Macaca fascicularis: one gene and its partner. The protein of the gene in region 2 purifies or fractionates together with the protein of the main gene of each other region. This does not show direct contact. Links are inferred from orthologs where the notes say so. Each region holds a gene or a part of one and is shown on either strand. Other genes may lie near its edges.

The links. The genes of interacting proteins can lie anywhere in the genome.
Region 1: the proteins of CUL1 (region 2) and FBXO42 purify together in Homo sapiens (affinity purification with mass spectrometry; 9 studies listed by BioGRID and IntAct, counting the BioPlex papers as one, with this or other methods). This does not show direct contact. The link is inferred for Macaca fascicularis from reciprocal best matches to the Homo sapiens genes CUL1 and FBXO42.

What each region holds. Positions count from the first base shown.
Region 1 is NC_088375.1:218,794,308-218,797,959, reverse strand, and holds part of FBXO42 (F-box only protein 42), read right to left. Parts: intron 3,463-3,652; 5' UTR 3,446-3,462; coding exon 3,196-3,445; intron 1-3,195. UniProt on the Homo sapiens protein: Substrate-recognition component of some SCF (SKP1-CUL1-F-box protein)-type E3 ubiquitin ligase complex. Specifically recognizes p53/TP53, promoting its ubiquitination and degradation.
Region 2 is NC_088377.1:190,452,908-190,456,794, reverse strand, and holds the end of CUL1 (cullin-1), read right to left. Parts: coding exon 3,848-3,887; intron 3,769-3,847; coding exon 3,686-3,768; intron 3,133-3,685; coding exon 3,027-3,132; intron 2,441-3,026; coding exon 2,327-2,440; intron 1,238-2,326; coding exon 1,157-1,237; 3' UTR 632-1,156; downstream 1-631. UniProt on the Homo sapiens protein: Core component of multiple cullin-RING-based SCF (SKP1-CUL1-F-box protein) E3 ubiquitin-protein ligase complexes, which mediate the ubiquitination of proteins involved in cell cycle progression, signal transduction and transcription.

The DNA of each region.
Region 1 (3,652 bases), on a different chromosome or scaffold from region 2:
GATGCCCTTTCAGTAACTGAATGGGTAAACAAACTGTGGTGCATCTAGACAATGAAATATTACTCAGCACTAACAAAAAAAGAAATCATGAAAAGAAATGGAGGAAGCCGGGAACGGCGGCTCACGCCTATAATCCCAGCACTTTTGGAAGCTGAGGCAGGAAATCACTGGAGCTCAGGAGTTTGAGACTAGCCTGGGGAACAGCAAGATCCTATCTCTATAAAATTTTTTTTTTAATTACACAGGCATGGTGGTGCACACCTGTGGTCCCAGCTATTCCAGTGGCTGAGATGGGAGGATCACTTGAGCCCAGGAGGTGGAGGTTGCAGTTAGCCAAAATCACGCCAATGCACTCCAGCCTGGGCAACAAAGCAAGACCCTGTCTCCAAAAAAAAAAAAGAGGAAACTTAAATGCAAATATTACTAAGTGAAAGAAACCAATCAGAAAAGGCTATATACTATATGATTCCAACTATATGACCATCTAGAAAAGGCAAAACTATGGAGACAGTAAAAAAATCAGTGATTGCCAGAGGTTGGTGGAAGGAAAGGATAAAGAGGGAGAGTATACAGGATTTTTAGGGCAGTGAAGCTATTATGATATTATAACAGTGGATATGTGTCATTATACATTCATCCAAACCCATAGAATACATAACACCAAGCATGAACATTAATGTAAACTATGGACTTTGGGATAATAACAATGTTTCAGTATAGGTTCATCAATTGTAACACATGTACCACTCTGGTGAGGGATGCTGATAATGGGAGAGGCTACACATGTGTCAGGATAGGGGGTAAATGAGAAATTGGTTTTGTTTCTTTTTTTTTTTTTGAGATGGAATCTCACTCCGTCATCCAGACTCGAGTGCAGTGGCTCGATCTTGGCACACTGCAACCTCTGCCTCCCAGGTTCGAACAATTCTGCTGTCTCAGCCTCCCAAGTAGCTGGGACTACAAGCACCCACCACCATGCCCAGCTAATTTTTGTATTTTTAGTAGAGATGAGGTTTCACCATGTTGGCAGGCTGGTCTTGAACTCCTGATCTCAAGTGATCCGCCCACATTGGCCTCCCAGAGTGCTGGGAATACAGGCATGAACCACTGTGCCCGCTCAGAGGAATCTGTTTCTCCTGCTGAATTTTGCTGTGAACCTAAAAGTGCTCTTAAAAAAAAAAAAAGTCTATTAAAATTAAAAACAAAGAAACAAAACTATCTCATCAGAGACTTCTGCCAGAAAGATCGATTTAAGACTGTGAGTACTAGGGTAGGGTTCTTTTCTTAAAAAAATAAAAAAAGAAAGAAAAGGAAAGAAAAAAGAAAAGAAAAGGATAGGATAGGATAAGATAGGGAGAAGAAGAGAGAAGAGAAAAGAAAAAAGAAAAGAAAACCAAAATAAGACTGCCAAAGAAAACCTAGGATAAATTCATATATTTGATTAAATCACAGTCCCTTACCTGTGGTTTTCCTCCCTTTATTTGAGAAGTGAAAGCATGTATTTCCACAGTGCAGGGAGCCAATCTCTCCTGAAGAGCTCGTCAACTCAGAATATAGAAGCAGGCTGTGTGTGCCAGTATTAGCAGTTATAATCAAATAAGCACAGGGCCCATAGAGCAGTTTCAATAGCTGGCTGTTAGCCCTCTAGGTGGACTTTGGGAGTTGACAAGGACTTCCCTCCCCATGAGAACCACCTTGATGCAAGGAAAATATTTTAAAACTGATTGATTCTGATCTAAAGATTGTTCTCTGTTATATCTCTGGCTGTCTTGTTCCCCCAGGAAAGAACACATCGAGACAACCCTCGCTTGATCAAAAATTACTCAACTTGACTGATCATCTTCAAACAAAAAGCAGGCCCTTTCCCCTTAAGATGCAATGAAGCCACTAACTACTTTCTGCTAATTAAAAATACAGCATGTCTAGCAACCTAAACATTTAGCAAAAAGTTGAAATCTTGATTAGGAAAAGGATGAAAAAAGGACCAGAGTCTTGCTCGGTCGCCCAGGCTGGAGTCCAGTGGGTGATCTCGGCTCACTGCAACCTCCACCTCCTGGGTTCAAGCAATTCTCCTGCCTCAGCCTCCCCAGTAGCTGGGATTATAGGCACCCACCACCACGTCCAGCTAATTTTTGTATTTTCAGTAGAGACAAGGTTTCACCTTGTTGGCCTGGCTGGTCTCGAACTCCTGACCTCAGGTGATCCGCCTGACTCAGCCTCACAAAGTGCTGGGATTACAGGAGTGAGCCACTGCGCCCGGCCAAGAAACATATTTTAAAAAGTAAAAGATGTACATAGGGTCTTTGCTGTTTAGAGATAAAATCAAATGACAAATGCTTTCAAGAAAGCACAGTTGCTAAAAGTAGCTACTCAGAGACAATATGCAGCCTTAATCAGAGCATGGACTCTAAAGCCAGATTGCCTGAATGTGAATCTTTAATCCTGTATTTACTACCCATGTAAATAAGTTAACTGTGCCTCACTCAGTTCTGTCATCTATAAAATGCAGTATGTTCTAGTCATAGTTTGCTATGTGAATGTAAAGCAGTTACAATAGTGCTTGACACATGACAAAAGCTATGCTCACATTGGCTATTACTATTATCCCATATCCATTTCTATTTTGCCCATTCAAGAACAATACTATTAATTCACTTGGGAGGCTGAGGCGGATGGATCAGGAGATCGAGACCATCCTGGCTATCACAGTGAAACCCCATCTCTACTAAAAATACAAAAAATTAGCCGGGCGTGGTAATGGGCGCCTGAAGACCCAGCTACTCCAGAGGCTGAGGCAGGAGAATGGCATGAACCCGGGAGGGGGAGCTTGCTGTGAGCCAAGATTACACCACTGCATTCCAGCCTGGGCGACAGAGCGAGACTCTGTCTCAAAAAAAAAAAAAAAAAAAAAAAAAAAAAAAAAAGAACAATACGATTAACCAGATCAACTCTAAGAATATGAAGCTTTTAAAAAGAATCCTCATTTTAAAAAATGCAAATGGGATTAGATACTTTAGTATTCAAGCTGTTCATTGAACTAACCAGGGTAAGAAAAAAAAGAAAATGTAGTATCGTCTAATACCAGATTTTATAACCATAATACATTTAAGGGAGGAAAAAAACTAAATCTGGAGTCTAAAAATAAATCAATGAAATTTGAAATCAATAAATAAACCTTTCTCCTATCCACAGTACCTTTGATAAGTCGATACCACTGTTTGCAGACAAGGGCCGCAGTTTTGTGTTCCTGATATGGTGACAGAAAGGACAGGATATACTCCAAAACCTCTTCTGGCAGCTCCGACATGGACCTATTATGTCTAGTCTCGTCAGCCTCCAATACTGGGTGGGGCTCCTCATCTTGCTCCATTGTCCCTTCCAGCACAGTTTCTTCCTGGTCCACAGCCATGAAACTGTCATCTTCACTGTCTGAGGAGCTGGCCATGACATCCCACTCAACAGCTGTAATAGGTAAAATACAAATATCAGTATTGCACTGAAAGCAGCTCAAAAACAATTCAGGCATGCACATCTAAGCTCTTCATAATTTCGTTTCCACTCTCAGTATGAAATCTGCTCTTCAGCACTTTCCAACACCAGTTGTGAGCCACCTTAATTCGACAGGTATAGCTCAAATACCAAGCCCATCCCC
Region 2 (3,887 bases):
CGGAACAGAAGTGTGGCCGAGCGGGCTCTGACATGTCCCAAGCCCACGACCGGAACAGAAGCGTGGCCGAGCGGGCTCTGCCGTGTCCCGAGCCCACGACCGGAACAGAAGCGTGGCCGAGCGGGCTCTGCCGTGTCCCGAGCCCACGACCGGAACAGAAGCGTGGCCGAGTGGGCTCTGCCGTGTCCCGAGCCCACGACTGGAACAGAAGCGTGGCCGAGCGGGCTCTGCTGTGTCCCGTGCCTGTGCTCTCCACGCAGGAGAGGCTGGTGGCGACCGGGGATCCTGGAGCCCACCACTCACCTTCGGTCCTACCTCCTCTACTCACTAGAGGCATCTTCCCTCATCTGGCCTCAGTTTCCCCACCTGCAAAAAGGAGGATACTGTTTCACACATAGGCTGTCAGGGTAACTCATTTAGTCCTTACAAGTGTCAAAGAGAACCAATGTGTGGTCAGCGACTCTCATTGAATCCAGTGACACAGTGCATTCAAGTCACCACAGAAGTCACAAAAATAAGCAAGATTTTTTTTAAAGGATTACATCGGGGCTTAAAATTTTAAGATCTTAAAAAATTTTCAATCCAAAGAATACAGCCCTTTTAAACTACAGGAAGACACTAGGAATATAAATTTGCACAATCATTATATCTTTTATTTACATATAGAAATTAGTAAAACTTAAAACAAAACCAAATGCGACTTGTACAGAAATCCTTTAATTTTCTTTATTTTCACACATTAAAAAATGAAACACACTATACAAATGGTTTTCATAGCAGATTACATGTGGGTCCATTCACACTTGCTCTCAAAGTGCTGCCAACGTGACAAGTGCTGCCAAGGCGACAGCTGCGAATCGGGGAGCCCATGTATTGACGTAGATGCGGTAGCATGCAGCCCTCGGCATGGAGGGTCAGTCCCCGCTGTTCTTAAATTAGGGTAAATGGCGTTGGTGTCCGTATTTACAGACTTGAAATGTATCAATCCTGAGCAGTTCCGATGTAAATCCGAGACAAGCTGATGGGAGTCTTGGTCTCCGTTTTAAAAAGGGAGGTCCAATGGCGGCAGGCTGGCTGCTATGAACTTGAGTTGTTTTCATTCTTTCCAACGTGAACTATTTGCCGCGGGTCACACAGTCAGACCCTTCCAGAAGGGTTAAGCCAAGTAACTGTAGGTGTCCTTTTCACCATCAACTCGCTCCAAATACTCTTTCTCAATTAGAATGTCAATGCATTTCTGGGTGTTATTTTTAAAAAGGAAGAGGTAGTGAAAGAGAAGAAAAACACAAATTAGCATCAGAACAGAGAGAGGTTGCCCCCACCACAGATCTCCCCATGTGGAGCTCGGTGGGGAGCAGTGCCCCCCGCCCCAGATCTCTTAGCATAGTTTCACTTCCTGGGCAGCTAAGCCGTTGTGCATGGAGTTCGTTTAATTTCCATTTCCTTGACACTTGCTGAGGGGGACTCCAAGTCCCTCCTGCACCCACCCTAGGAACTGGAGCCGGGTGCTCTGCGAGCCCCATGGGCCAGTCTCTTTCTACCACCAAAGTCTGCTTGCCTCTGAGGCAGGACTCAGTCTCACAAGAAGAGGCCATGAACAGGCAACAGGGGACCGTGGAGAACCCCCTGAACAGCCATGAACGAACTGGCACCTGTGCCAAATGTAACCCAGGAGGGACACTGGGCCTTCTGCCTGTTGAGGGAGTCACCTGGCTCCCCACTGGCTGTGCCTTACCCAAGTGGTTTCGGAAAAGGAAAGTCCTGCTTCCCAATCAGAAATAAGCAAAATGTCAACAGTAGGCTACACAAAGGAAGGTGTGTTCCCATAACAGAACACCCACAAGAGTCACAAAAACGATCCAGTGCTTCTCGATACCGCAACGCAATGAATCTCCCAAAGATACTGCTGAGAAAATTCTTACCAGGCACGGGAGCATGTGCTCTAGAATCTGTCTATGTATCACGCATAAGCAGGCAAAACTGCTTTATGGTGTCAGAAGACATGACAGTGATTTTCTATGGCACCACAGGTATTAGCTGGGATGGGTGGGCTTCCGGGATGCTGGTCATGTTTTAATTCTTACCTGGGTGCCGGTTACACAGTTTATCGACTGTGAAAGTCATCAAGCTGCCACTTCATCATCTGTGCACTTCTTTGTGCGTGTGTTTCAATAGCGTTACACTAAAGCTTTCTTTTATAGAAATCTACTACATACAAAGAAGCCAGCTCCCTTCTTCTTCATGCTACAGCAATCCATCCACTTTTTGCTACATCTTTTATCTTCTAAATTAAGGAAGGAATGTGACTGCTATGTAAGTCCTGTACCTTGATCACAGGGACCCGAGGTTTGAACCTGGAGGACAGCTGAGTGAGGACCTCGCCAAGTAACTGCTGGTGTTTCAGAACCTTCCTCATCTTCATGATTCTCACGATGGCCGCCTATGCAACCAGATAAGGAAAAAGAGGTGCATTTAGAGCTGTTAACAACTTAGTATTGACAGTTAAGGGCAAGCCGCACAGAGGCTGCCAATGCTACGCACAGGATCACCATTTCCTAACGGGCAACAAGCGTCCTGCCGGTGAGACGGGAGAGGCAACCAATTGTACTCGCCTATGTTTCAACTCTAACGTGGCAAACATTACGTTTTGGTCTTTTGAGCAATGTGACCTCAATAATTTAACTCAACCATAAAGCATTAAAAAAAGGAGACAAAATTAAGTCAAGGCCTCGGAAGCTGCCCATCCTCCCCGCTGAAGCACTCTCCTTCCCCCTCGTTTCAGCTGGGCCTGCCACAATGTCTGCTTTCCAACATGGAGAGCAAGAGGACTGCCCTGTTCTGCCTGGTGACATAAAGGACTAATTCAGATAACAAGGCCCTGGCTCTCGGCCTTGCCACCTTCTGCCATCACAGAGCCATTCATCTGGCAATCACTCCTGAGTCAGCCCCGCTCCCCCACGGCCCGTCCTTGCGAGCCATCCCTGCGTGAGGGACCGCACACCCGGCACAGGCATACAGGAAGTCACCTGAATCAGTAGTTTGCGGTCTTCCTCGATATTTTTGTGTGTGGTTTCTTGTTCCTGCTTCTGTTCGGTTTTCATTGGCACATTGATGTTAACCCTTAATTTCTTACTATCAAGAAAATGGAGGAAACCGATCACTATCATGTTAAAAGGTAGGCAATGAAGGCTGCTTTCTATTTGTCAACCTTTAAGCAGTGCCCCTGCTTCCCCAGACAGAGGGGAGCGCTGATTTCTGTGAGCTCTATGTGAGAACGCCTGTACCCAGCACTGGGCAGAGTCCGATCACAGCGTAGTTTCCTACTTGGCCATTAACAGGGACATCCACATTACAGAAAATCCAGGTCCTTAATCTGCTCTCCCAAATTTTGTCAAGTGAAATAAAATCAAGCCACTTGGACATAAAGGTCCAAACTTTCCTGATGAGCCATTTAAGGAGACTTACGTGCCAAATAAATAAACAAAAAACCCAGTAGCTCAGAGTTGGAGAAACATCAGGCTTGCTGAATGGAATCGAAGGCCTACCTCACACTCCCAGCCTAGTGCCTGTCGCTTCATACTGAGTCCCCGTCTCCCTCGGTTCACAACAATACTGAGATCTGTGCTAGGGCTCCCGGGGGACACGTCTATGGTCTAGGGCCATCTATTTATTAGATTTTTCTTACTTTTTATAACCAAGATATAATTTTATTAAGGTATCTGGCTTTAATTCCACTTCATCAACATTTGCATTTTCATCTTCCAAGACCTGTAAGAAAAAAAGTGTTACTATATAATCTCAGGAAAAGGCTTGCTTCTAGCATAAGATAGAAAGTGCACAAACCTACCAGTAACTTTGACTTTAATAAAATCTGTAGGACTTGCGCC